Oryctolagus cuniculus: one gene and its partners. The protein of the gene in region 3 purifies or fractionates together with the protein of the main gene of each other region. This does not show direct contact. Links are inferred from orthologs where the notes say so. Each region holds a gene or a part of one and is shown on either strand. Other genes may lie near its edges.

Evidence for each region.
Region 1: the proteins of TNRC6C (region 3) and PAN2 purify together in Homo sapiens (affinity purification with western blotting; 3 studies listed by BioGRID and IntAct, with this or other methods). This does not show direct contact. The link is inferred for Oryctolagus cuniculus from reciprocal best matches to the Homo sapiens genes TNRC6C and PAN2.
Region 2: the proteins of TNRC6C (region 3) and CNOT10 purify together in Homo sapiens (co-immunoprecipitation; 3 studies listed by BioGRID and IntAct, with this or other methods). This does not show direct contact. The link is inferred for Oryctolagus cuniculus from reciprocal best matches to the Homo sapiens genes TNRC6C and CNOT10.
Region 4: the proteins of TNRC6C (region 3) and protein argonaute-1 purify together in Homo sapiens (affinity purification with mass spectrometry; 5 studies listed by BioGRID and IntAct, with this or other methods). This does not show direct contact. The link is inferred for Oryctolagus cuniculus from reciprocal best matches to the Homo sapiens genes TNRC6C and AGO1.
Region 5: the proteins of TNRC6C (region 3) and protein argonaute-3 purify together in Homo sapiens (affinity purification with mass spectrometry; 3 studies listed by BioGRID and IntAct, with this or other methods). This does not show direct contact. The link is inferred for Oryctolagus cuniculus from reciprocal best matches to the Homo sapiens genes TNRC6C and AGO3.

What each region holds. Positions count from the first base shown.
Region 1 is NC_091442.1:59,145,666-59,151,652, forward strand, and holds the start of PAN2 (PAN2-PAN3 deadenylation complex catalytic subunit PAN2), read right to left. Parts: upstream 3,791-5,987; 5' UTR 3,644-3,790; intron 3,532-3,643; exon of another isoform or gene 3,437-3,531; intron 3,040-3,436; 5' UTR 2,926-3,039; coding exon 2,644-2,925; intron 1-2,643. UniProt on the Homo sapiens protein: Catalytic subunit of the poly(A)-nuclease (PAN) deadenylation complex, one of two cytoplasmic mRNA deadenylases involved in general and miRNA-mediated mRNA turnover.
Region 2 is NC_091435.1:169,315,751-169,321,680, reverse strand, and holds the start of CNOT10 (CCR4-NOT transcription complex subunit 10), read right to left. Parts: upstream 3,461-5,930; 5' UTR 3,441-3,460; coding exon 3,170-3,440; intron 1-3,169. UniProt on the Homo sapiens protein: Component of the CCR4-NOT complex which is one of the major cellular mRNA deadenylases and is linked to various cellular processes including bulk mRNA degradation, miRNA-mediated repression, translational repression during translational initiation and general transcription regulation.
Region 3 is NC_091448.1:3,394,351-3,400,357, reverse strand, and holds the start of TNRC6C (trinucleotide repeat-containing gene 6C protein), read left to right. Parts: upstream 1-2,599; 5' UTR 2,600-2,849; coding exon 2,850-2,917; intron 2,918-6,007. UniProt on the Homo sapiens protein: Plays a role in RNA-mediated gene silencing by micro-RNAs (miRNAs). Required for miRNA-dependent translational repression of complementary mRNAs by argonaute family proteins.
Region 4 is NC_091438.1:136,728,486-136,733,692, reverse strand, and holds part of protein argonaute-1, read left to right. Parts: intron 1-4,376; coding exon 4,377-4,536; intron 4,537-4,715; coding exon 4,716-4,806; intron 4,807-5,207.
Region 5 is NC_091438.1:136,707,341-136,713,132, forward strand, and holds the start of protein argonaute-3, read right to left. Parts: upstream 3,803-5,792; 5' UTR 3,458-3,802; coding exon 3,439-3,457; intron 1,992-3,438; exon of another isoform or gene 1,972-1,991; intron 1-1,971.

The DNA of each region.
Region 1 (5,987 bases), on a different chromosome or scaffold from region 3:
GTCTTCCACTGCCAAGGTTTCAGTGAAACATGTTAAGGGCAATGAAGCCTTATTTCCTTCCCTAGCTCAGCTTCAGACTTAGAGGATCCAAATGCCTACTAAACATCATCTCCCCTTGGACAGCCCGGAGAACCTCAAATTCATTACATTCTTAATGACATTCACCACTTGGATCCCATTTTAATTCTTCGTACTATATTCTCTATGTTACCTGATCCACTCAGTTGACTAAGTCATAGAATAGTCAAGTCCGGTTTATTTCACTTTCTAAATATTTCCCAAGTCCGTTCTTATGTACCCATCTTAGCAGTGCATCCTTCAGGCCTTCATTCCTGCTGTTTATGTTTTTCTTTTTTTTGGAGGGGAGGCAGAGTGACACAGAAGGAGAGACAAAGACGTCTTCCATCCGCTGGTTCACTCCATAAATGCCTGTAACAGGCAGGGCTTGGCCAGGCTGAGCCCAGGAGCCAGGAACTCCAGGTCTCTCTCATGGGTGGCAAGGAATCAAGTACTTCAGCTGTCACTCATTGTTCTCCCAGGGTGGACATTAGCAGGAAGCTGGATGGGAAGCAGAGGTGGGACTGGATCCCAGGCACTCTGATATGGGATGTGGGAATCCCAAGTGACAGCTTAGTCTGCTGGGACACAATGCCCACCCCCTTTGTCACATTTTATGTGAGCTGCTACAGTAGTCTGCTCCATCTTCTTTAAGCCAAACTATATGCTGCTACTTCAGCATTCCACCTAGAGGCAAGCCACACCTTGTCATTCCAGATAGAAATCCGGGATGATCAAATCTAAACTCTTTCAACACAGCATATGAAGCTCCCTAGAAGGTTCTTTCTCCAAATATCTGCATGGTTCCTTCTCTTCCTTCTAGAAAACATAGAATGGTCATCCTAGCCTGGATCCAGGTCTCTCTACTCAAGGGTGACTCTATCAGACATCTTCTGATCTAAAATAGTACCATCTCCCACCCCTCACTGTCTCACCTCCCTAACTACACTGTAATTTTTTTTTAGTACAAACCAACATCTGAGAATATTGTATTTTTTTAATTTGTTTACTGCTCATTCCAAACTTAAAACCTTATAGCAGGGTTTGGCACCAAGCAGGTAGCTCAAAAAGCAGTCAGGTATCACTTCCTGAAGTAAAGTGAAGGAAGGCCCTCTCTGACCCTGCAGTAACTATTTTCACACTGGCATTTAGCACCATGGAATTATCTGTTTAAATCTTTTCTTCTTCAGTGTCCCATAAAGTCCTCAAGGGAAAGGATTCTGTTTTACTCAGCTTTCTTCTCTGCCTAGATACTGCCTACTAAACGGAATAAGTCACAAAGAAAAAAATCCATCCCTTCTAATGGAAAAACAATTCATGTCCTGTAAAAGGTAAATTAGGGGCCAGTGCTATGGCATAGCAGGTAAAGCCGCTGCCTACAGTGCCAGCATCCCATAAGGTAAATTAGTAAACAATGGGCAGCACATTATTATTATTATTTTAAGATTTATTTATTTACTTGAGAGGCATAGTTACAGATAGAAAGAGGGAGAGACAGAGAGAAAGGTCTCCGATCCACTGGTTCACTCCCCAAATAGCCGCAATGGCCAGAGCTGGGTGGATCCAAAGCCAGAAGCCGGGAGCTTCTTCCTGGTCTCCCACTTGGGTGCAGGGGTCCAAGGGCTTAGGCCATCTTCTACTGCTTTTCTAGGCCATTAACAGGGAGCTGGATTGGAAGTGGAGCAGGTGGGACTCAAACCAGCACCTATACGGGATGCTGGCACTGCAGGCTTAACCTACTACACCACAGCGCCGGCCCCAAAGCATATTATTTCTTACAAAATCTATGGCTCCATAATATATTGGCAATATGGAAACATATTTTTAAAAATTGCATTGATGGGCTGGCGCTGTGGCACAGCAGGTTAAGCCATGGCCTGAAGCACCCACATCCCATATGGGTGTCAGTTCCAGTCCCAGCTGCTCCACTTCTGATCCAGCTCCCTGCTAGGTGCCTGGGAAAGCAGTGGAAGATGGACCAAGTCCTTGGGCCCCTGCAACCTCATGGGAGACCTGAATGAAGCTCCTGGCTTTGGCCTGGCCCAGCCCTAGTCTTTGTGGCCATTTGGGGAGTGAACCAGCAGATGGAAAAATCTCTGTCTGTTTCTCCTTTTCTCTCTGTAACTCTGCCTTTCAAACAAATAAATCTTTTTTTTTTTTTTAAATCACATTGATAACTTCTCTGAGATTAAATCAACCTGAGAAGACAAAACAATTCCTTGTAAGGTATACAGACACATTCGCTAAACATTCTATAATTATAAACATGGAAAACAGAGAAAGCCATTAGAGATTAGGTTTAGGTGGCTATAGTCTAACTGATGGGTAATTATCAAGATTAATCAAAACAAGAAGGGCAAACAGGCTAAAGTAGGATGCCTCCTGAGAACGAATATCTGTGTAACTCATCCCTGGATCCTAGGCCCCCCGTTCTGCCTCCACCCTCTGGTCTGGATTTAGAGCCCCAGCTAACTCACTCATCATTTCCACTCAGTTCTAACTCTGGGCAAAGCAGCTCTCCTTGGGCAGAGACCAGAGACTGCCAGCAGCTCCTTTCACTCCCCCACAAAGGGATACAGTTCTTACCCCGTGGCTCCCCACCCACAGCATCTCCTCGTGCAAGTCAAAGTGAGAGACGGAGACAGGCACGCCCACTTCAGCCACCACGCTGTGCAGCTCAGAGTAGACGCCTTCCATTATGTGCACCGACTCCTGGACGGGAAGAGCCTCCAGGGCTACTCCCTCCGGGTCCAGCTCCACATTCTGTAGCAGACTCGGGTTCAGGTGGGCATCCAGGACAGGGTCCAGGGTGGAATGCATAGCCGGAGCATACTCTGCCAATCCAGGGTCCAGACCCTCAAAGTTCATGATGCAGGCAGCTGATCAGACCTGTGTCGCACCCTCCCTTGCCACAGTCCCTTTAGATGCCGGGCCCAGCCTTCAGCCAGACAGCACCAGAGGGCCTAGACTGAACATCCTGGCCTGCAAAGGGAAAGAGGTTAACTGAGTCACGGGTAGGCCTGGGTACTGGTCCTAGGTTATGCGGGCAGGGGTGCCGCGAGGCTGGCGGAAGGGATGAGATGGCAGGGAGAGGACGAAGCAGGCAGGCAGGGGTGGGGAGGTGGGAACACTTATCCTTATTCTCCTCTGGGCCCTCTCTTCTCACCGCCCTGCTGTCCGACCTCATCCTTGCTTTCCCTCCCTCCTCCCTCAGACCCGCTCATTCGGGAGACTTCAACCCTGGGACAGGTGAAGGCAGCGGGAACCATAGCGGGTAGAGCTAGGTTGAGGGGTCCAAGGAGCTTTTCCCCCAGAACTGGCTTTGAGTGGTGAGGGGAACTAGAGATGTCAGTTTCCCAGAATCCTAAGCAATAGTTACCCAGGATTCTTTGGGGAAAACAAGAATGGCCACTTATGCACGAGTAGGGTGGGGGTAGGGGAGGGTGATGGAAACGGATAGCTACCCAGAATTCTCTGGGGGAACCTGAGAAATCGGTTACCCAGAATTCTCCCCCGGCGGCGGGGAGGAGATTAGGGCAAGGGTCAGATGTGTTCCTGGGATGCCTACGGGGGAATGGGTCATTACCAAGATTTCTCCATGGCGGATATTTTGGAGCGCGTGGAATTAAAACGAGTAGTACGAGAGCAAGCGCCGTCAGCTACGTGGGAAATTCCAATTTCCCTAGTTCTCCCCCGCGCCTCCAGCTCAACCGAACTTTACGGCGGGAAGAAGGGCGGGTTCATAGTTGCCGCTGCCAATCAGGAAGGGCTTGGGACATGTCGAAGCCAATCGGAAGGAGCCAGGTACTGACGGCCCCGGAGAACGTGTGTGACGCAAGAGCGAGGCGAAACGGAGTTACGGTGTGCCGATGGGGACAAGTGGAGGCGGGCCCGGCGTTTCCGTGGTGTGAAAAGTAGTTTCTTGCTTAACCCTATTTGAATGAAATTAGCCCTAGACTTAGAAGCCGAGCCTTTATGCTCTCTGTAACTTTAGAAAGTCAGACTGAGGGGCGCCCAAGGCAGGGTGCTGGCCGGCGATTCCTGGGTATTCCCGGCGTGGCTTGGTCCACCCCCTCTCCAAGCGGCGCTCCTGTGAGCCACCCCGCCACTTCTGACCCTGCTGCCCCCGAAACTCGCTGGTATTTCCTATCATGTGTAGATATGGGTGAGAAAAAAGGAAGCAGGAGCCACACTCCTGACATGGCCCAAAAGCATCCATCTAAAATTCCCATCGGTGACTGCTTGCTCCCCAGAGGCCCCGTAATATTCCCAGTGAATAGGGCTCCCCAGCTGACAAATTCCCCTAGCTGGTGCAGTAGTCCCTCAGAGGGAAGGGGGCACAGCCAACGGGGACGTTTGCCTTCCGAACACGCATAGGATTTACCAACAGAAAACGCTGAGGGATTCTCGGGGCCAGTGAGCTTGAAAGACTCCAGGTTGGGAGATGTCTCTGGGCACTTTTTACTGTTTCTAAAGGCCATGGAGAGGGACTCAGTGGAAGACACGCTTTGTGGAGGATGCAGGTTTAAAATATTTGGACCGGGGGCCCACGCTGTGGCGAAGCGGGTTAACGCCCTGGCCTGAAGCGCCAGCATCCCATATGGGCGCCGGTTCTAGTCCCGGCTGCGCCTCTTCCGATCCAGCTCTCTGGTATGGCCTGGGAAAGCATTAAGAAGATGGACCAAGGCCTTGGGCCCCTGCACCCGCGTGGGAGACCCTGAAGAAGCTCCAGGCTTCAGATCAGCGCCGAGTGGACCAGCGAATGGAAGACTCTCTCTTCCGTCTCTTTCTCTGTATAACTCTTTCAAATAAATAAATCTTTTTGAAAAAAAATAAAGTATTTAGACCTTCATAAAAAGACCCAAGAATTTAAACTTCTCTAGGACTCAAAGGGGTTCCAGACCAAGAGGAAAATACCCGAACTCAGAGGTCTCTCAAACTCATCTGACACAGGTGCTTAGATGTCAAAATCCTATAAGGAGTGGGAATTTGGCTTAGTGGTTAAGATTTTAAAAATACTTATTTATTTATTTGACAGGCAGAATCACAGAGGAGAGGTATAGGCAGGGACAGAAGTCTTCCATCTGCTGGTTCACTCTCCAAATGGCCACAAAGACCAGGGCTGGGCTGGACCCAAGCAGGAGCCAGGAGCTTCATCCAGGTCTCCCACAAAGGTGCAGGGGCACCAGCACTCAGGCCATCTTCTGTTAGCAGGGAACAGGATCAGAAGTGGAGCAGCCAGGGATCAAACTGGGGCCCTTCTGGGATGCTGGCACTGCAGGCAGCGGCTTAACCCGCTGTGCCAAAGCACAGGTCCCAGATGCTCGCATTCTATATCAAAATGGTTGGGTTCAGGCCGGTGCCGCGGCTCAATAGGCCAATCCTCCGCCTGCGGCACTGGCACACTGGGTTCTAGTCCCAGTTGGGGCACCAGATTCTGTCCCAGTTACTCCTCTTCCAGTCCAGCTCTCTGCTATGGCCCAGGAGTGCAGTGGAGGATGGCCCAAGTCCTTGGGCCTAGCACCCGCATGGGAGACCAGGAGAAGCACCTGGCTCCTGGCTTTGGATCAGTGCAGTGCGCCGGCCGCAGCGGCCATTGAGGGGTGAACCAACAGCAAAGGAAGACCTTTCTCTCTGTCCCTCTCTCTCACTGTCCACTCTGCCTGTAAAAAAAAAAAAAAAAAAAAAAAGGTTGGGTTCAACACATGGCTTCACTTCACTCCTGACTCCAACTTTGTGCTAATACAGACCCTGGGAGGCAACAGAGATGATCCAAATTATTGGGTTCCTGCCACCCAAGACCTGGATTGAGTTCCAGCCTCCCAGCTTTTCCCCCAAGTAAGGGTCATTGGGCATTTGGAGGAGTGAATCAGCAGAGATGGGAGCTCTTCTCTCTCTCTCAAAAAAAGGGGCTAGCGTTGTGGTGCAGT
Region 2 (5,930 bases), on a different chromosome or scaffold from region 3:
TCACGTGGGAGACCTGAATGGAGTTCTGGGCTTCTAGCTTTGGCCTGCCACAGCACCAGCTGTTATGGGTATTTGGGGAGCGAACCAGCAATGGAATATCAATCACTAGATCTCTCTCTGACACTCTTTCAAGTAGATGAAAGTAAACAAACATTAAAAAATTAAAAATAAAATTTTTAAATGCCAGCCCAAAACTAACATAAGGCAGATAAGCAGCTACCTTGAGGAAGCTAGCGGAGTCTGCTAAAGATCCAGTGGTGTGCTCAGAGTGTGAGAACCCACCAAACTGTAACACTTACAATCTTATCAGAGGGCTCTGACCCACTGCACTGGTTCATTCCCCAGATTCCCACAACAGATGCGGGAGAGGCTGGGCCAAGCAGAAGTCAGAAGCCAAGAACCCAATCCAGGTCTCCCACAGGGGTGACATCTGCTCCCACTAGGGTGCACATCCGGGGTCTGGAGAGGAGCCGGGCAAATCCAGGCATTCTGCTATGAGATACGAGGGTCCCAAGCAGTGTCTTAACTGCTAGGCCAAATGCCTGCCCCAGTCTGGGCATTTTTTGGTAACTGCCTAGAAACCCACATTCCAGGAGCATCTCGAAGAATCAGCGGTCAGAAGAGCTAACTAGGAACCGCTGGCCTAAGATGTGCCAGCAGCCAGCGGGGGTTCCCAGCCTTCCTCTTTCAAGAGCCAGTATGGTGTAAGGAAACGGGCACACGCCTTGGAACCTGTCACTCAGTCGGTACAGTCTATTCTTGGCCTGTCTTTAGCTGGAAACGCTAAATAACCACCAGCTCCCTTTCCCTCTGCCTCTGCCAGGACAACTAAGGCTTCCTATGGTTATTTTTTTAAATACACTTATGTCTGTACTTTAAACACACAAAGTGGGGGCCGGCGTTGTGCTTTGCTGCCTGCAACACCAGCACCCGTAAAGGCGTTAGTTCAGGTCCCGGCTGTTCTACTTCCGATCCAGCTTCCTTCTAACGTGCCTGGGAAAAGCAGCGGAGAATGGCTGAAGTGTTGGGGTCCCTGAACCCATGTGGGAGACCCAGAAGAAGGTCCTGGCTCCTGGCTTTGGACTGGCCCAGCTCTGGCTGGTGCGGCCATTTGGGCAGTGAACCAATGGAGGGAAGGTCTTTCTCTCTCCATCTTTCTCTTTGTAACTGACTTTTAAATAAATAAATAAATCTTTAACCACACAAATTGACAATGAAGTTAATTTAGTGTAACTTGATTACAGACCGCCTTAGATTACTGTGAAATGTCTACACCCTTCTCAAATCACATTTATACTAACAATAATCTGCTTTTGAGAACCTATCAATCTAAGAACTTATCTGCCCTATAAGAAGGGCATTCTGTGAAATGTTACTTCTTTCTTTTTTAGAAAAGATTATTTGAAAGGCTGAGTTAGGGAGGGAGAGAAGAAGGGGGAGGGGAGGAGGAGAGAGCAAGAGAGCAAGATCTTCCATTGCTGGTTCACTCTCCAAATGGCCACAAAAGGGTAGCTTTTCCAGGTGCATGGGGTGGGGGGGAGCAGGATCAAAAGTGGGGCAGCCAGTACTCAAACCTACACTCATGTGGGATACTAGTGCTGTAAGTGGCTGCTTGACCAGTTCTGGCACAACACCAGTCCCAGAAATGTTAATTCTGATAAAGTTAGCAGATAAATCAGTGTTCATGGGGCCTGCACTGCGGAGCAATGGGTTTAAGCTTCCGCCAGCGATGCCAGCATCCTAAATGAGCAGCAGTTTCAAGACCTGTCTGCTGTATTTCCAATCCAATTCACTGCTAACGTGCTGGGAAAGGCAGCGGGTGACGGCCTGAGAGTTGGAATCCTGCAACCCACATGGGAGACCTGGATGGAGTTCCAGGCTCCTTGGCCATTTGGGCAGTGAACCAGCAGATGGAACATCTCTTTCTCTTTCTGTAACTCTTTCAGATAAATACATTAACTGAAAAAAAAAAAAAAAAAAAAAGGCAAGGTATAAGTTTTAGATCGAAGCAAAATCTCCCATTCCACAAATACTCACCATAAAATTTTAAACAACGAATTTAAAAATATTTCTTAGGGGTCAGCGTAGCTGTGGCGTAGCGGGTAAAGTTGCCACCTGCAGTGCCGGCATCCCAAATGGGCACAGGTTCGAGTCCCAGCTGTTCCAATTTGAATCCAGCTCTCTGCTGTGGCCTGGGAAAACAGTAGAAGATGGCCCAGGTCCTTGGGACCCTGCACCCATTTGGGAGACCCAGAAGAAGCTCCCGGCTCCCGGCTTTGGATTGGCGCAGCTCCAGGTGTTGCAGCCATCTGGGGAGTGAACCAGCGGATGCAAAACCTCTCTTTCCCTCTGCCTCTAGTTCTCTCTCTGTGTAATTCTGATTTTCAAGTAAATAAATAATTTTTTTTTATTTTTGACAGGCAGAGTGGACAGTGAGAGAGAGAGAGAGTCTTCCTTTTGCCGTTGGTTCACCCTCCAACAGCCACCGCAGCCAGCACGCTGCGGCCACCAGCACTTTGCTGATCCGAAGGCAGGAGCCAGGTGCTTCTCCTGGTCTCCCGTGGGGTGCAGGGCCCAAGCACTTGGGCCATCCTCCACTGCACTCCCTGGCCACAGCAGAGAGCTGGCCTGGAAGAGGGGCAACCGGGACAGAATCTGGCGCCCCAACCGGGACTAGAACCTGGTGTGCTGGCGCCACAGGCAGAGGATTAGCCTAGTGAGCCATGGCGCCGGCCTAAATAACTAAATCTTAAAAAAAAAAAATATTTCTTTGAGAGGCAGAGAGAGCTCTCATCCACTGGCTCACAACCAAAATGTTCACAACGCCCAGGGCTGGGCCAGGCTGAAGCCAGGAGCTGGGATCTCAACCCGGGTCTCCCATTTGGGCAGCAGGAATCCACGCACTTGAGCCAGCATCTGCTACTCCCAGAGTGTGCCTCAGCAGGAAGCTGGGTCAGCAGCAGCCGGGACGTGAACCCAGGCACTCCAGTGAGGGATGTGGGCTTCCGGGTGGCATCCCAACCACCACGCTAAACAGCCACCCAAGATAAAAATTATGTTTGCTTATCTATGCTTCTCAAGTTTTTTTTTTTTTTAAGAGTATTCATTTTTGTAGTCAGTTTTAGAATGTTTTTTCAATGTCCATTATTTGTAACTGCTCACTTCTTACCAGACAGAGACTGCACATAATTCCACAGCGTGTCTTTATCTGTCCAAAAGTAGTCTCCATTGCCAATGGACAGAGTATACGACCGCTCATCCATAAGCTTGACCTTCCTTCTGCTCTGGCCTAAGGAGCACGGCTGACCTTCTAGGCGAACAGAGCTCTTTGACCCACAAGCCTTGACATTCTTTAAGCCAACGGACTTCATTTCTAACCAAATAATTGCTTTTTGGTTTGAACTAAGTAGAAAAGATATGTACTGCTTTTTCAAAACCATAAAAAGTCAGTTAACGGAAAGAACAGACACATTCCAGCACAGAATGTTAACCACTCAAATCTGATTGGAGGATGACTACTAGCTATAGCTCCAATGATGTTCAAGAAAAGAAAGACGTTTCCAAAGAAATGAGGAAACTGAAAGGCCTGAGGAGGATGCCTGGCCTCACGGTTGAGACTCCCATGTCTCACACGGAGCATCTAGCTTTGATCCCCAGCTCCTGAGTCCAGCTTCCTGTCCTGGGAGGCCGCAGCCACAGCTCAGTGACTGGGAACTGCCACCCAAATGGGAGATGTGGATTGAGTTTCTGACTCCAAGTTTTGGCTACAGCCCAGTACTGGCTCTTGTGGACATCTGGGAAGAGAACCAGCACATGGGAGCTCTCTTTCTAGAAAAAAAGAAAAAGGTTACCACTTCAAAAAATAAAAAATAAAAAAAATCAATTCAGGTTCACTAAAGTCACCATATAGCTAAGGTTAAGACACTTCAAATGTGGTTTCTATCATCTAAACAAGTATTTCTGACTTAACAAAACCCCACATATACTAATTTCAAAGCCAGTATTGGGGCCGGTGCTGTGGCGTAGCGGGTAAAGCCGCCACTTGCAGTGCCAGCATCCTATATGGGCACCGGTTTGTATCCCAGCTGCTCCACTTCCGATCCAGCTCTCTGCTGTGACCTGGGAAAGCAGTGGAGGATGGCCCAAGTCCTTGGGCCCCTGCACCCGCATGGGAGACCCGGAGGAAGTTCCTGGCTCCTGGCTTCAGATTGGTGCAGCTCTGGCCATTGCGGCCATTTGGGAAGTGAACCAGCAGATGGAGGGCCTCTCTCTCTCTCTCGGCCTCTCCTGCTTTGTATAACTCTGACTTTAAAATAAATAAATGAGTAAATCCTTAAAAAAAAAAAAAGCCAGCCTTGTGGTGTAGCAGGTTAAGCTCCTGCCTGCGATGCCGGCATCCCCTGCGGGCACCAGTTCCACACCTGGCTGCTCTGGCTCCATCCAATTCAGCTCCCTCCTGATGTGCCTGAGAAAACAGGGGAGAGTGGCAGTGCCTGTCACCCACATGGGAGACCCCGATGAGGCTCCTGGCTCCTGGCTTCAGCCTGGCCCAGCACTGGCTGTCATGGCCATTTGAGGAGTGAACCAGGAGATGGAAGCGCTCTCTCTTTTTTGGGTTCTCCCTCCCTCCCTCTCTCTCTCTAACTCTGATTCCAATAAGTAAATCATTTTTTATAAAGAAACTATAAAAAAGGACTAATTTCTACAAAGCTCCGAGAAGTAAAACACGACCAGTGAAGCCACGTTCTACAGTACAAGCAGTCACTAAAGCAGGTCCCCTCTACTTGAAGTTGGACAGAAGAGCTGGAGAACTGGCCCAGAGGATAAGCCAGTCATACCAGCAGCAGTGCCACAAACCGTAGCATCCTGCCAGTCACAGACCTCGAGTAACTAGGGTCAGCACGCTTGGAAGACAGGCAAAGCAGAACACTGCCACTGACAATGAGTATTCTTATCTTCCCATCTAAAAGCACTTTTTATGCATAGAAATATCTGAATTTTAGTCTAGTTGAAACATTGATACTTGAAATATTAAAGTCACAAATTCAAAAATCCTGGATATCCTTCAAACTTTCACATTCAACTTAGATATCTTATTCTATTTGAAGGTCTAATTTTGAAGGGTTGTTATAAATGTTTGAACTTTTAAAAAACCATTTGGCTTATTTGAAAGGCAGAGTTAGAGAGAGAGAGAGAGAGGGAGAGGGAGAGGGAGAGGGAGAGGGAGAGGGAGAGGGAGAGGGAGAGGGAAAGAGGGAAAGAGGGAGAGGGAGAGAGTATTTTCCATCTGCTGGTTCACTCCCCAAATGGTCACAACAGCTGGGGCTGGGCCAGGCAGAAGCCAAGAGCCCCAGACGACACGGGTGGCAGGGACCCACCTATTTAAGCCACCACTGCTGCCTCCCCGATGTGCATTAGCAGGAAGCTGGAATCAAAAGTGGCGCAGTATGTGGGTGTCCCAGATGGCAGCCTAACCGTGGCACCACAACGCCTGCCCAGAGAGCTGCTCTTCGCGGCAGAAGGCCTGCTAACAGATGCACACAGCAACAGAACCAGGGAGGTGCCCCTCTGCAATGCCCAGTCTCAAGTGGGGATGTCTGCACAATGCCTAATCGCTTCCCCAGAGAGTACTTCCAGTTGCCTGGAAAAAGATGCTCCTGTCAACCACCTTAACAAACCGACCAAATTTAGCATCACTAATAGTGGATAACCTGACTCCTACAAAGTGCTACACATCTAATAGCCCAAATAAATTTCAGTTTATGAAAATACAGGCGGTAAACAAACCAAGTAAAGGACGCCAGGAAGAAGCAGACACATCTGGAACCCTGGGATATTCTACCAGATAACTTGGTCTCTTCAAAAAGTCACTGCTGTCGGGAAATCAGAGTGGCCAGTGGAATTAAAGAGTCTCAAGAGACATATCAAAA
Region 3 (6,007 bases):
GTCTGTGACGCTGAACAGCCGGGGTCAAGGTGTGAGCAGGCTCTGTGGAAGAATCAGCTTCCCAGCTTGTTTGCAGACCCCAGCTCTTGGCCGGCTGCCGGTGGAGCGGCTCTCAGCGCCTTGACGCAGCTGCGCTCCGTGCTTCCTGCTCGTCGTCTCCAAACCAGCAGCTGTGTGCCCACGCTTTCTTAGGCTTCAGCTTTCGAGACCATCTCTCTCCGACCTCTAAGCTGAGATTTAAGGTCACCAAGCCTACCTGGATGGTGTATCTGACTTGGGATTTGAGTTACATATTTTAAAATACCTTCAAAACAGTACCTGAATTTGTTTGATTGAATATGCGGGAGAGGGTATGTTGACTGTGGACTTGGACTCTTGGAGGGGTCTTAGAATTGTGCCTGCTGGGGCCTGGCGCTGTGATGTCGCGGGTAAAGCTGCTGCCTGGGACTCTGCTGCCCCACGTGGGGTGTTCCTGCTGCTCCAGTTCCAATCCGTCTCCCTGATAATGGCCTGGGAAGCAATGGAAGATGGCCCATGTATTGGGACCTGTGCACCCACATGGGAAACGCAGATAAAACTCCTGGCTCCTGACTTCAGCTTGGCCCTGAGCTGGCCATTGTGGCCATCTGGGGAGTAAACCAGCAAATGGAAGATTCTCTCTCTCTCTCTGTAACTCTGACTTTCAAAATAAATGAATAAATCTTAAAGGGGGGGGGGGGGGCAGCACTGTAGCGCAATGGGTGAACACCCTGGCCTGAAGTACTGGTATCCCACATGGGTGCTGTTCGAGACCCGGCTGCTCTACTTCTGATCCAGCTCCCTGCTGTGGCCTGGGAAAGCAGAAGATGGCTCAAGTCCTCAGGCCCCTGCACCCACGTGGGAGACCCAGATGGAGCTCCTGGCTCCTGCCTCTAGCCTGGTCCAGCCCTGGCTGTTGGGTGCATGTGGGGAGCGAACCAGCAGATGGAAGATCTTTCTCTGTTTCTCTTCCTCTCTGTCACTCTTTCAAGTAAATAAATAGATAAATCTTTTAAAAATTAATTTGTAGGTTTAAAACAATTATAATTTTTAAAAACATTTTTTCTTTTAGAACAAATAATGACTCATTTCATCCAGAAGGGTGAGGACAATCGGGAGAAAACTTTTGAGGTGATGAAAGGAAACTGGTGGTGGCAGAATTCTGAGACTTCAATGCTTGAAGCTTCTTCCAGGTCTCCCACGTGGGTGCAGGGGCCCAAGGACTTGGGCCATCCTCCACTGCTTTCCCAGGCCATAGCAGAGAGCTGGATTGGAAGAGGAGCAGCCGGACTCCACTGGTGCCCATATAGGATGCCGGTGCTGCAGGGGGAAGATTAGCCCATGACACCATAGCGCCAGCCCTGAATATTAAATTTTATAAAAATAATTATTTCAGGGGCCGGTGCCATGGCTCACTTGGTTAATCCTCCACCTGCGGTGCTGGCATCCCATATGGGTGCCGGATTCTAATCTAGGCTGCTCCTCTTCCAGTCCAGCTCTCTGCTGTGGCCTGAAACACATTTCGCACGTTTTACATCTCCAGAATTGCTGTTTGCCTTACATCCAGTGGGATGCGTATAGCAGGGCGTGATCGGCAGCATTTCTTTCTTAGTGATGCACAGAAGCACTGTGCGTCGTCTGTCTGAGGCGTCTTAGGTTGGGTAGAATGCAGTGCTTTGTAGCAGGTCCACCTGGAAGGGCCGCTGTGTAGCTGTGCCGCGCCGTCGTCCTGCAGGAATGGAGGTCCTTCTGCGGCTGCGTAGGCAGTTGGTGCCGCCTTCTCCTTTGAGAAGCCCTACCCAAGTGCTTCTGGTCATGCTCCGTGGAGTCCAAGCTTATGTATCATTCGGTCACCTAACACACAAGCTCAGATGTGTGTGTATACGCATCGCTTTGTTTCAGAAGAGTCACCCTGTATTGGGGACGTCTGCAGAAGCGGGCCGGTGCCCCGGCCCAGAGTCGCCATTAGCCCCAGAACGCATCCTCATCTTCCTGCGGGAAGAAGCTTCACTGAGTGCATCTGGAGCCCTCTCCCAGCCTCCCTGTGTGGGGCCGTGGGTGAGGGAAGACCCTGCAGACCTCCCAGATCCCTGTGTGGGGCCGTGGGTGTGAGGGAGACCCTGCAGACCTCCCAGCCTCCCTGTGTGGGGCCGTGGGTGTGAGGGAGACCCTGCAGACCTCCCAGCCTCCCTGTGTGGGGCCGTGGGTGTGAGGGAGACCCTGCAGACCTCCCAGCCTCCCTGTGTGGGGCCGTGGGTGTGAGGGAGACCCTGCAGACCTCCCAGCCTCCCTGTGTGGGGCCGTGGGTGTGAGGGAAGACCCTGCAGACCTCCCAGCCTCCCTGTGTGGGGCCGTGGGTGTGAGGGAGACCCTGCAGACCTCCCAGCCTCCCTGTGTGGGGCCGTGGGTGTGAGGGAGACCCTGCAGACCTCCCAGCCTCCCTGTGTGGGGCCGTGGGTGTGAGGGAGACCCTGCAGACCTCCCAGCCTCCCTGTGTGGGGCCGTGGGTGAGGGAAGACCCTGCAGACCTCCCAGCCTCCCTGTGTGGGGCCGTGGGTGAGGGAAGACCTTGCAGACCTCCCAGCCTCCCTGTGTGGGGCCGTGGGCGTGAGGAAGAACCTGCAGACCTTCCAGCCGTGGACTGGAGAGGCGGGAGGGCGGCCGGCGGGAGGGCGCTTAAGCCACCAGCTGAGATGTACTCGTTCCATCCGAGTGTCTGGACTCGAGCCCCAGCTCTGCCCCGCTTCTGTCTTGCTGCTGACGCACACCCTTCGAGGAGCAGATGACGGCTCAGGTCGTTGGGTTCCTGCCACTCATGTGAGAGACCTGGAATGAGTGTTAGATGCCCAGCTCCAGCCCAGCCCTGGCCCTTACAGGCATTCGGGGAGGGAGCCAGCAGGTAGGAGCGCTCTTGTATCTGTCTGTCTCCCCCCATCCTACTCCCTCCCTCCCTCCCTCCCTTTCAAATAAATAAAAGTAAAATGTAAAAGAAATTTAAAGGCTTTTTAAAATATGTATTTGTTTATTTGAGAAGCAGAGTTACAGAGGGAGAGACAGAGAGGTCTTCCATCCGCTGGTTCACTCCCCAAATGGCTGCAACAACTGGAGCTGGGCCAATGCAAAGCCAGGAGCCAGGAGCTCCTTCCCGGTCTCCCACGCAGGTACAGGGTCCAAGCACTTGGGCCATCTTCTGCTCTTCCAAGCCACTAGGGAGCTGGATTGAAGGCGGAGCAGCCATATGGGATGCTGGTGCCACAGCCCCGGCCCCAAGAGCATGCACTCTTTGGGGGTGCTGTGCAGTATGGCGGATGCGGTGAGTGACATTTGACTGACAGTTCAGTCACTGTGTGAGCACATGTGGCCTTGAAGGCTCAGGTGGTGTCCATTCCAACAAGGTTGCTTTGAGGAGTGACTGAGATCATGGATCTCAATGATCTGCACAGCCCAGTGCCTAGTAAGTTACAGTTCTTGCTGCCCTTGGGTTTTCCAGAGACTGCGTAACTCGATGCTGGCTGCTTGCTTGTGTGTGTTTCCACTGGAACTTGGTATTTATGGAGGATTCTTTGATTGTCTAAGTTTTGTCTTTGGATTAAGCAAGACCATCAGAAACCTTCACACTTGGACTGTCTCTGGCTGTCCAGAGAACTGCTGAGTTTTCCCATCGGGCTTTTTGACTCGCAGGAGGCTGCGAGAGCGCGTCTAGTAAAGCCGCCACTGCAGATTTGAGGGCCTCAGCGTCGCTGTCTGGGCAAGAGCGCGTCGCCTGTGCATCCGCCGCTCTGAGGACGGAGGCTGTCGTGAGGGTGATCTGGTAAACTGCTAGTTGCTTCCCCGATAGGGCAGATTGTAAGTCAGTGCCCTACACGTATGAACCCGTTACTAGACCTGATTCTGCTCAAGTCTTGGGAGAGGTAAACTCTAGGTGTAATATTGTAAGAAATCAGGGTAGGCATTGTGGCGTAGTGGCTAAGCTGCTGCTTGGAGAGCCTGGGTCAAGCCCCGGCTCCTCTCGTTCCCACCCGGCTCCCGGCTGATGCGCCCTGGGAGGCAGCAGTGAGGGCGCAAGCACTTGGGCCCCTGCCCCCACGTGGCAGACACAGATGGGGTTCATGGCTGCTGGCTTCAGCCTGGCCCAGCCCTGCTGTTGCCACCATCGGAGGAGTAAGCCAGAGATGGAAAGTCGATCAACTGATCTCTCTCTCTCTCTCTCTCTGCCTTTAAATAAAATGAAAACAAATAAAAATTTAGAAAACAAATCAATCAAAATGATGGCAGTTAGCAGGATGTACTTTATGACAGTCTTAGGAAACATTTGCTTTTTGAAATTGGTGCCTGGACATGGGGCATGCAGTACATACAGCCTACACACTGTGAGTATTACAGTTGTTCAAAGGGGCCGGTGCTGTGGCGTAGCGGGTAAAGCCGCCGCCTGCAGTGCCAGCATCCCATATGGTGCCGGTTCGAGTCCCGGCTGCTCCACTTCCCATCCAGCTCTCTGCTGTGGCCTGGGAAAGCAGTGGAAGATGGTGCAAGTTCTTGGGCCCCTGCACCTGCGTGGGAGACCCGGAAGAAGCTCCTGGCTTTGGATCAGCGCAGCTCCAGCCATTGTGGCCAACTGGGGAGTGAACCAGTGAATTGGAAGACCCCTCTGTCTCTCTCTCTGTCTCTGTCTCTCTCTCTCTGCCTCTTCTCTCTCTGTGTAACTCTGACTTTAAAATAAATAAATAATTTTTTTTTAAAAAACAAGTTGTTAAAAGGCGGGAAGTAGCTTAAAAAGTAGAAAGGGCAGTTTGTGACTCTAAAGGGGCGGGATGGGGGGGGGGGTTCCGCGGCCCAGCGGTTGGTGTGCTGTTCCTGATTGCTGAGGGAGGGGCTAGCTCCTGAGCCTAATTGTGTCATAACAGTGCAGCCCATAACAGCATAACAGGACACTTTTCTCTAATCAAGTAGTTCCTCCAGGATTTCTGTCGGGACTTTTTTTTTCTTTTTTTGCAATCTAAACTTGGTATAGGTTTGAAAATAAAATTTTTCTATAATTTGTATTTTTCAGATAAGTTTTCTTCCTCAATGCTGAAATAAGAGTTTTCATATTTCACATTTTTATGAGACATATCAACAAACCTCTTAGTATCTGTGTGTTTTTCCTGCAACAATATAATTTGTCAAATTTTTTTCTATTTAGGTCAACATTTGAGTGCTTTATCAGCTTATTACTCTAATATGTACATTTTTTTAAAAAGATTGATTTATTTATTTGAAAGGCAAGGTGATAGGCAAAGAGTCAACCATCTGCTGGTTCACTCCCCAAACACCCACAACAGCCAGGGCTGGCAAGCCAGAGCCAGGAGCTCCACCTGGATCTCCCCTGGGTGGCAGGAACCCAACTACTTGGGCAGTTGTCTGCACTCCCAGTTGCATTAGCATAAAACTGAATGGAAGGTGGAGGTAGGGCTCAAACCCAGGCACTCTGATGTGGAATGCAGGCATCCCAGATCACTACACACCCCGGCACCTCAGCACGAACCCTTGAAGCGGCCTCTCCCCTTATCCTTGCGTGAAACCCCGGGCTTCACAGATGTCTTGGGGCCAAGGGGCGAGTGGATGATGGTGTCAGGAGGCTCTGCCCAGCCCTGGCACACATGCCTGTTCTACATTAGATCGCAGCTTTGGGCACGCGTTAGCGTAGTGGCTCCTGGAGCTGAGCCCACTCCGCTGACCGTGCTTCCAGCTCGCAGAATCACAGAGACTGAAGGAAGCGTGAGAGACCCTCTGCAGCCCAGCTCTCACCCTGCTGGGCCCCAGGCCCTTCCCTCACCTCAGGGGCTAGTCACTGCTCAGCGTGCATGCTGCTGGCACGCAGTCCTTTTTCCTTCATGACCATCTCTCGAGTTGCCCCAGTACTCTAAAGCTGGTGGAATGTAAAGCTGTTGTGAAGGTAAAAGAAAGTACTGTTGGGGCCGGCACTGTGGTGCAGCAGGCAGAGCTGCCG
Region 4 (5,207 bases), on a different chromosome or scaffold from region 3:
TACAGGTCCCTGTGTCTGGCTTCTTTCACTCAACATTAAGTTTGAGTTCTTCCTTATGTCTGGTTGTAGTTTATTACAGCTCTTCCATGATATGATTATAGCACAATTTACATATATTTATCCATTCTATTAAAATATATTTTGGAGGCCAGCGCCGCAGCTTACTTGCCTAATCCTCCACCTGCGGCGCCAGCACCCCAGGTTCTAGTCCTGGTTGGGGCGCTGGATTCTGTCCTGGTTGCTCCTTTTCTAGTCCAGCTCTCTGCTGTGTGGCCCAGGAGGGCAGTGGAGGATGGCCCAAGTGCTTGTGCCCTACACCCACATGGGAGACCAGGAGGAAGCACCTACCTGGCTCCTGGCTTCGGATCGGCACAGCGCACCGGCCGTGGCAGCCATTTGGGGGGTGAATGAACAGAAAAAAGGAAGACCTTTCTCTCTGTCTCTCTCTCTCTCTCACTAACTCTGCCTGTCAAAAAATTTAAAAAAAAATTAAAAAAAATACATTTTAGAATTATTTCTAGTATTTGGCAATTATAAACAATGCTTCATTGAACACTTCTATGTCTACTTTGAATATATATATCCGTTTTTGTTCAGTATGTATCTAGGAATGGATTTTTTTTGACAGGCAGAGTGGACAGTGAGAGAGAGAGACAGAGAGAAAGGTCTTCCTTTACTGTTGGTTCACCCCACAATGGCCGCCGCGGCCAGCGCACTGTGGCCGGCGCACCGCACTGATCCAAAGCCAGGAGCCAGGTGCTTTTCCTGCCATCCTCCACTGCACTCCCAGGCCACAGCAGAGAGCTGGCCTGGAAGAGGGGCAACCGGGACAGAATCCGGCGCTTCAACCAGGACTAGAACCTGGTGTGCCGGCGCCACAGGCAGAGGATTAGCCTAGTGAGCGCAGCGCCGGCCATCTAGGAATGGATTTTAAGTATACCAATATATACTTCCACCAGCAGCATAGGAGAAAGAATTCTAGATGTTTCACATCCTTACCAAATGTCATATTTTTTATTTTCTAGATAGCCACTCTTGTTAGTGTTTAATGCTATCTTTCCTTGTGATTTTCATTTGATTTCTCTGATGACTAATAAAATTGTATGTCTTCATCTCTGTTGGCTATTTCACCAGCACTTTTTTGTAAAGTGCCTGCTCAAGTCTGAAAAATTTTTCCTTTTTTTAAATAGTTGACTTAACTGCCTTTTCCTTATTAATTTATAGGCCTTCTTTATCATTCCTTTATTGAATATATATGTATGTTACACATATTCTCTGACTTGCCTTTTTACTCTCTTAATGGTATCTTTTGTTGAGAAGAACATTTTAATTTTAATATAGTCCAGCTTATTAGTATTTCAGCTAGTACTCTTTTTTTTTTTTTTTTTAAGGTTTTATTTTATTTGAAAGGCAGGCTTATGGAGAGAAAGGGAGAAACAGAAAAGAGAGAGAGAGCTTTCGTCCGTTGGTTCACTCCCCAGGTGGCCACAGCGGCCCAGGCTAGTCCAGGTGAAAGTCACGAGCCAGGAACTTCATCCAAGCCTCTCATGTGGGTGACAGGGACCCAAATACTTAGGCCATCTGCTGCTTTCCCAGGCACATTAGCAGGGAGCTGGGTCAGAAGTGGAGTAGCTGGGACTTAAACTGGTGACCATATAGGATGCCAGCATTGCAGTTGGCCCCCTAACCTACTATGCCACAGTGCTGGCCCCCTAGCTAGTACTTTCTGTGTCCTATTTAAGAAATCCCAATGTTATGAAAATAACTATGTTTTTTTTTACTGTCATTATTTTAAAACTTTCACATTTAGAACTTTCACATTTAGTACATGTCTTGATGTCTCAAAACATCAAAAAGCTCTTGTTGCTTGTTTGCTGGTGGTAGTCCCTCTGGTAGTGCAGAGCTTGGATTCTCAGTCTGCTGCCCATACCTAGAATCCATAAGTGTACCCAGGACAAAAGAAGCTGCTGAAGGTAGCTCTCCTCTGAGATTTTCTCTCTCTCTCTGGAGTTTTAACCTCTCCAGTCCTTATGTCTTTTTTTTTTTTTTTTTTTTTTGACAGGCAGAGTGGACAGTGAGAGAGAGAGACAGAGAGAAAGGTCTTCCTTTGCCGTTGGTTCACCCTTCACCCTCCAATGGCCGCCGCGGCCGGCGCGCTGCGGTCGGCGCACCACGCTGATCCGATGGCAGGAGCCAGGAGCCAGGTGCTTTTCCTGGTCTCCCATGGGGTGCAGGGCCCAAGCACTTGGGCCATCCTCCACTGCACTCCCTGGCCAGAGCAGAGAGCTGGCCTGGAAGAGGGGCAACCGGGACAGAATCCGGCGCCCCGGCCAGGACTAGAACGCGGTGTGCCGGCGCCGCTAGGCAGAGGATTAGCCTAGTGAGCCGCGGCGCTGGCTAACCTCTCCAGTCCTTATGTCTTAATACCTGGTGCCTTCAGAAAGATGGTTTCTGTATTTTACCTGGCTTTTCTGAATGTTCTCTACAGAGAAAATGGTTTGCCACTGGTTATTCCATCTCTCTTAGAAATTTAAATTATCAGCCAGCGCCGCAGCTCAGTAGGCTAATCCTCTGCCTGCGGCGCTGGCACCCCAGGTTCTAGTCCCGGTCGGGGCTCCGGATTCTGTCTGGGTCGCTCCCCTTCCAGTCCAGCCCTCTGCTGTGGCCCGGGAAAGCAGTGGAGGATGGCCCAAGTGCTCGGGCCCTGCACCTGCATGGGAGACCAGGGGGAAGCACCTGGCTCCTGGCTTTGGATCGGCACAGCTCACTGACTTAGTGTGCCGGCTGTAGCGGCCATCTGTGGGGGTGAACCAATGGAAGGAAGACCTTTCTCTCTGTCTCTCTCTCACTGTCTAACTCTGCCTGTCAAAAAAAAAAAATTAAAATATCATTTTAGCTTTCTAAACATACGTGAGTCTTTCAGAGAAAACATACCAACACTTTGATTGATCCTGCATCTCCTGCTTGTACATTATATCACCAAAACAGCTTTTGCGTCAACATCACTATATCCAAAAGACATTCCTCCTCCTTGTTTTACCTGATCTAGTTACTTGTGACTTTGTGACCACTGTTTCTTTTTGAAAGTTTTTTTCTTTACTTGGCATGCATGATAAGTTACTGTCTTGGACTTCCTTCTAGCTCTGGATTTTTCTCCATGGCTGGTGTCATCTTCCTGTACTACAAATTCTGACAGTTCTTCAGGATTTCTATCTAAGCCTCTTCTCTTTTCATTGCCATCCTCCTTGGTGATCTCATCAATATCATGCCTTCACTTACTACCTGTACCTAAATATTGCAAAAATTTGTATCTCTGTTTCAGACTACTCTGTTGAGCTTCTAACGACTATACCCATTTGCCTGGTTGACATCTTTGCTGGGATGATCAAAAAGCACAAACTCAAAATGTCTCAAAAAGAATTTATAATCTGTCTTCTACTTCAAAGTTATTTGTAAAAATCTGTTTCCTTATGTATCTTGTCTAACAGAGTCCCTTAAATATCTCTTTAATCTATTTGTTTCTTGACAACTCATCGCATTTTTTTTTAAGATTTATTTTACTTATTTGAAAGTCAAAGTTACAGGGAGAGAGGGAGAGACAGACAATCTGCCATCCACTGGTTCACTCCTTAAATGGCTGCAACGCCCAGAGCTGGGCCAGACCGGAGCCAGGTGCCAGGAGCTTCTTCTGGGTCTCCCATATGGATGCAGGGGCCCAAGCACTTGGGCCATCTTTTGCTGCTTTCCCAAGTGCAATAACAGGGAGCTGTATCTGAAGTAGAGTAGCTGGGACTCGAACCAGTATCCATATGGGATGCCGGCATCACAGGCACCAGCTTTACCCGCTACACCACAACGCTGGCCCCTCATCTGCCTTCTTAATCTACACTGTCATCGCCTCTTCTGTCGATCAGCCTCAGAAGCCTGTTCTTTTTCCCACAGCGTGGTCCTCTTGCTTGCCTTTGTAGTTACTGTGCTCTACCAGTTTCTCAAACATTTTGCAAACTTCTAAAAGAGTGCATTTTTGCCATGTTTTCCTCTGCCTGAAGTACTTTCTCCAACCCTCCTTTTCTTTTCTGTGTTCTTTGCTACCTTCAGATTTCAATTTAGTCATTACCAGTCATCCTTTCCTGACTAGGTTGTTGTCCCTGGTTCTACATTCTTACAGCTCCAGCAAGTTTTGTTGTAGCATATGTCTATATTGGGATTTTCATGGTTTTTAACGTTAGTCACTACTTAATAAACACACTAAGAGTAGGGACTTCATGTGTTTCTGGTCACCATTGTATTTCCTGGTACCTCATATACTGCCTGACATTTAATAGGCATTCAGTAAATATTTGTTGAGTGCACTAACCAGTTCTCTCTGCCTGTAGCTGAGGTGAAACGTGTTGGAGATACGCTCTTGGGAATGGCTACACAGTGTGTGCAGGTGAAGAACGTGGTCAAGACCTCGCCTCAGACTCTGTCCAACCTTTGCCTCAAGATCAATGTCAAACTCGGTGGCATTAACAACATCCTAGTTCCACACCAGCGGTATGAACTCTGTTGTCTGCTTGCCCTTGTCAAGGTACCATATGGGGATTAATGAAGAGATAGGATCCTGACCAGGCAGAGTGAATCAGACATAAGGGGAAAGACCAGAATGGGTGCTGGATGGTACTAGAGAGAGAAGACCCAATTCCTCACCATTTTGTTTTTCCTTCCTTGCTCAGCTCTGCTGTCTTTCAACAGCCAGTGATATTCCTGGGAGCAGATGTTACACACCCCCCAGCCGGGGATGGGAAGAAACCTTCTATTACAGCAGTGAGTGATACTTTCCAGCTTCCTCACAAAGTTCTCCTCTTGGCCCCAAGTCCCAAATACTGCGCAGGATTTCTTTTCCCTCATCTCTGGCCCTTAACCCTTCATAAGATCTCCACCATCTCACCATCCCCATTGCTTCCTCCCTTGTCATCTTCTTAAAGTTAACTTTGTATGGTTTGGTGTCTTTTTGTCAGGGAGAATAGTGAAAGTATAGCCTGTGACCAAAGACTTGCCCCTTTCTCCCCACCACTCGTATTTTGCATTTAAATTTTTTTGTTTCTCTCCAAGACTGCTCTTGGGATATGTGGGAGTGACCACCTCTCTTGCCTAGAATCTCTTTTAAGGGACTGACTTAGTTGCTGGGACTGTTCTTTTCTCTGGCTCACCCCAACTTCTAATTC
Region 5 (5,792 bases), on a different chromosome or scaffold from region 3:
ATTTATTTTTATTTTTTGACAGGCAGAGTGGACAGTGAGAGAGAGAGACAGAGAGAAAGGTCTTCCTTTGCCGTTGGTTCACCCTCCAATGGCCGCAGCGGCCAGCGTGCTGCGGCCGGCGCACTGCGCTGATCCGATGGCAGGAGCCAGGAGCCAGGTGCTTTTCCTGGTCTCCCATGGGGTGCAGGGCCCAAGCACCTGGGCCATCCTCCACTGCACTCCCTGGCCACAGCAGAGAGCTGGCCTGGAAGTGGGGCAACTGGGACAGAATCCGGCGCCCCAACCGGGACTAGAACCCGGTGTCCCGGTGCCGCTAGGCGGAGGATTAGCCTAGTGAGCCGCGGCGCCGGCCCTGATTCACTTTTGCAAGACCATGTATGAAGCAACTATCAATGAATGGCACATGGTGGGTTAATTTACCGCATGCCACACTGGCATCCAATATGAACCCCAGTTCAAATCCAGTTGCTCCATTTTAGATCCAGCTCCCTGCCAATGTGCCTGGGAAAGCAGCAGAAGGTGGCCCAAGTGTTTGGGCTCCTGTCACCCATGGGGTGACCTAGATTGAGTTCCAGGCTCCAGGCTTTGACCTGGCCCAGCCCCAGCCATTGCCACCATTTGGAGAGTGAATCAGCAGGTAGAAGAGCTCTCTCTTTAACTCTGCCTTTCAAATAAATAAATCTTAAACAAACAAACAAAAAGCCAACTAGCAAACTTTACATCAATTTGCATATTATTAATTCAGGGTAAAAGTAAATATTTCCCTTCCATTATTAAGTATAACTCCTTCCATTCTAAACAATAGTCTGACTTAACCTAAAAATAGAATAGTATGTTCTAAAAAACAAGCACCTAGACATGATATCTCAAGGAACATTTCTGCTGTCCCTATTCCCGCTTTGTTTGAACAATCTATCCTTTTAGTTTGGCTGCAATTAGACCATAAACAAACAGGGTTTCATCACAAGTTCCCCTAAGGAGTCACAGGTACAGACGCTAAACTACTATTATTATTTTAAAAACTATGTCAGTTTTTTTTTGTTAAAGCAAAGTTCAGACAGTACTGAATCAGTAGACTATATGACATATTTAAGAATCATTTAAAATATTTCATGTGAAAGGGAAGAACAGACAAATATTGACTTTTAGTGAGGAATGATTCATCAAGAAACAATTTCACGGGGCTTGGCATTGTGGCACAGTGAGTTAAGCCACCACCTGTGAGTGCTGGTTTGAGTCCCAGCTGCTCCATTTCCCATCCTGCTAACATCCCTGGGGAAGCAGTGGAAGATGGCTTGGGTCCCTGTCACCCATGTGGGAGATCCAGATGCAGTTTGACTTTGGCCTGGCCTGGCCCCGGCTGTTATAGGCATTTGGGGGAGTGAACCAGCGTAGGAAAGACCTCTCTCTCTCTTTCTCTCCCTAACTCTGCCTTTCAAATAAATACATAAATAGAAGAGGCAATTACATGGTATCTGTATCTGAAGTCCTCTAACATACTGAATAGTTTTCTACGTGTCAGTGTAACAACTAGAATTTAAAATATCCTATCATAACATGACACCTGAAAATCTCCACACACACAAAGTCACCAAGATTTAATACCAACCAAATATTCTATTAGAGAACACTTACAACTAAACAATTTGAAACTACATATGTATCTCAAACTCTGGATTTAAAAGTTAGCTGCACATGCTTCTCCATTATGCTTTCAACTTCCCATTCAGCATAACAATTACATATAATTCTCAGGAAAAAATTAAAGTTTTGTTTTTGATGACAATCTTGAGCCAAAGCATAGCTTGTTAGACTACAGTCAGTAACATATAAACTGCACTGAAGAATAACTTTACGTTTCAAGATGGACAAGTGCATGATTGATGAATCCATAATTTCACAGCTAACTGGGTATATATTTCAGCAATGGGCACCCAAAAAGAAGAGATAAAACTTTTTTCAGAGCCATACTTAGCTAGTTGCACCAGTTAAGTAGATGGTTTGATGGCACAAGTATCTTCCCAGATGTTGCCATTTATTTGGGCATAATTTCATATGAAAAAAAGAAAGGAGAAAGCCATTTCAAAAATTTTCTAAATATCATTAAAAATTATAGGATGATTAATAAAATATTTAACTTTCATGCTTTTTCAGGCTTGAAAACAGGACAGTTATGGAAAACTCATCTATAGCCCTAAACCAGCTTTCCTGCACAGTAAAAACAAATCCTGAGGTAGAATATTTCAAAACAAGGGCAGACACAGTTTTGGAAGCAAATTATTAAAAATTAAGAGGCTGAAACAAATTTTCTATTTTCAAGAGGATATGGAGAAAATTCCACTTAATCAAACTTATAATAAACTCTCCCAGCCCACACCCACCATTTCTGACTGCTTTATTAAAGCCATTTGACAATAACACTCCATAACCTATTCAACAAACTATTTATCTTTATGTCATTGGTTCCTTTTACATAAGCTTTTGCTGTGTTCAGGTACCTCTCAAGTTTAGCAAAAAGAGATGTGAAACTCAGGATTGTAATAATATTAGCAATGATACCCTACCTCAAATATTTCAAATATTAATTTATAAACTATCACCTGGATGAAGCAGACATCCAAAACTGACATACCAAGCATGATCATTTGGTAAACAAACCGTTATGTAATACCTACTTTATATCCCTAACTAATTACTTTAGAACCACAGAGACTGCCTTTGCTTTTTAAAAGACAAGTACTGTCCTTGTTGCAATTTTCCCTCAAGACGCCCCTGTTTCCCTCAGGGAGAGAAGGTAGTTTTTCTAAAATCCAAATTTCCAAGAATCTGATAACTGCTTCTCTAGGTAATGGAGCCTGGAGAGGTGGTGGTGGGGGATGCTATCAGCGATTTTAAGACCCATCTCCTAAAAGCAGCGATCCAGGACGTTTCCAAAGCAGCTCGAAAACTCTCCATGCAGCCAGAGGCACCGGCGGGGCGCTCGGGGACGACAGCAATGCCATCTTGCGCTGGCCGTGGCAGCAACACCGATCTCACACCCAATTCTCCTCGGTCACCTCCATGTGCCTCCCCAGCTACCTTCAGAGGCAGGTGAGGCGGCGGCGGGACACGCAGCCCGGTTAAAGGACACGCACCCCGCCGCACCGTCAGCTGGCCTAACAGCCGCGACGGGTGCGGAGACGGGCACCGCGGAAAGGAGGAGTCACCGCGCCCACAGAACCCCGCTCTGAACCCTCCGAGCAGGTTCGCCCAACTCGGTGGCCCCCAGGGACCTGCGGCGGCGCTGCGGGAAAGCCGCGGAGGGGCGGGAGACGGAGGACGCAGGCACCGCGCTCACGTCGCCCACCTGGGCCGGGGCAGGGGGAGCCGCGAGGCTCGGGGTGGGGGAGCCGCAGAGGGGTGACGCCGCCACGCACCCGGCAGCTCTGACTCACTCACCTGCGGAGCCGATTTCCATTCATGGAGCTGGGGGGAGTGCTTCCAGCGAGAACGGGGCCGCCACTGGGGGCCAGGAGGCGGTGCCGGGGGGCGACGCGGCGCGACACGCACCCTTCCTCTGCCCCGAGGCGGGGGCGGCGGCGGCTTCCCCTCAGCACCCGCACTCCGAAGGCGCTCGGCCGGAAGAGCCGCCGTCGAGAGACAGCACTGGACTAGACCAGAGGAAGGAGAGACGTGAGGCGAGGAGAGGGGAGCCCTGTCCGGAACTTGCGTCGCCCGCAGCCGCTGACGCTCCCGCCGCTCCTCCACGACTGCGGGCCGCCGCCGCCGCCGCCGCTCTCCCCGGGGCCGTCCCCGGAAGCCCGCCGGCGTCAGTTCCGCTGCCCGGCTCGCCCCGCGTCCACGCCTCGCCTCGCCTCCGGGACCCGAGCGGTGCGGGAGCGGCCAGCGCGGAGGACGCCGGGGAGGTGTCAGGGCGCGGGCGCCGAGCAGTCCCCGGTGGGAGACCGCCGCACGTCGCGCGCCACCCTGGTGAGGGCGGTGCCCTGCCTGAGGCGACATAGCTGCGGGCCCCAGCTTACCTGAGGAGCGCCTACCTGGAGCAGCCGTGCCTGGCCGGCTGCGGTCCCGACCCGCCTCCCGACCCTCCCGGCCGCGCCCAGCTGAGGCGTCCCGCGCGCCGCTGCCTCGCAGGCGGTCACGCCTGCGAGTGATGTCCGAGCCCATAGCGTTGTCTTAACGACCTTCTCCCCCACCCCCCGCTGGGGGGGGGGGGCGGAAATATACAATACGGTTTGGGAAACAATGATTAAGAAAGAAGCTGTTACATAATTTGCACGTTTAAAACTTTAATAGCGCCTCGTCGCACTGAACAACCCAAACTCCTTTCGGGGTTAAAACGCCGTTCTGCTGAAACTCACAGTCTGCCTCTTGACTGTGCGGTAGCTACACCGGTCTGCGTCCAGTTCCCCCAGCCGGTCAAGTGCTGCTTTTGATCTGACTTGGAGCCTCTTGGCTTCTGGTTCCCTTGGCCAGGAACCCTCTCCTCCTCCCTTTGACTTACTGCACACACGCACGCAAGCACGCACGCCCCTCGCTGCTTCTCATGTGCCAGTCATCTCGGAGCGCTCTTTCCTGGACCACCCGTTACTCTCAAAATCCTCCCCCGAGTCTAATTCGTTTAGTTTACTTCATCCAGTGCTCCTCCCTTCCCGCACTAGAACGTATGTTTTGTTAAGAAAACCAGGTCCAGCCATTGTCAGGCAAATAGTCGGTCCTTAATACTTGTTGCCTTAATGAAACATGATACAATTTTGTACAGGCTAAGCAATGACTCATGGTTTTCCCTATGTCCCTAAGCATCAGTAATGTTTAGACTTTGTTTAATCTAAACTCATTGACTTTTTAAAAGGAAAGTTTTTTTTTAAAAATTCTATCTTCATATCTTCATCTCCCACCCCCTCGGTGTGGGACTTTGGAACAGTCACTTGACCTCTTTAGGCCTCAGTTTCCTCATCTAAAAAACGGGAATAACAGCAGGTACCTTACCAGTTGCTGAGGTTAGGGAACAAAGAACAATGAAAACTCCCTGAATGTTATAAGTAACAAAAGCATTTGCTGTAGTCACCACTCGAAGCACTGATTAGCTACATCTACCATATAATAAATACATAATAATTGGAGGAAACTGAAAACCTTGACCCCAATTCTGCATCTTCTTCCTTCAGATCCCTACCCCCCGTGACTGAAAATACCCTCCCCATTTTTAAAATATCAAAATAAATGTCACCAGATGAAACACTCACTGCATCCTAAAAGTCATTTTCAATTATTGTACACAACCCAAATCTTGGTGGCAACATCTTACAGGGGAAATATCAACTCTGCAAGGGTCTATCACATCCTTAAGACACAAACCTCGTGTCAAAAATTTTTTCCCCAAACGAGTGCAAACTTCCTTAGCTTCTCCCAGAAGACATGGTGATGAACCCTCAAGGGGAGCTACTATCATTCTGACACTGATGGAGCAGGATTTGAACACTGATTCAATCCAACTGAATAAAAAAAAAAAAAAAAGATTTGAATGAAAGGTAGTGACAAAGAAGTCTTCCATATTTACTGGTTCACTCTGCAAATGCCTGCCATAGCCAAAGCTGACCCAGGCTGACACAAGGACAATGGAACTCCAGCCACGTTGCCCATGTGGGTGGCAGGGACCCAAGCACTGGGGTCATTGTGTGCTGCCTCCCAGGTGCATCAGCAGGAAGCAGCATCAGAAGCACAAGGTAGCCAGCACTCAACCCAGGCACTCCTTCCCTACGTGGAATGCAGCGTCCCAAGCAGCCCCTTATCCT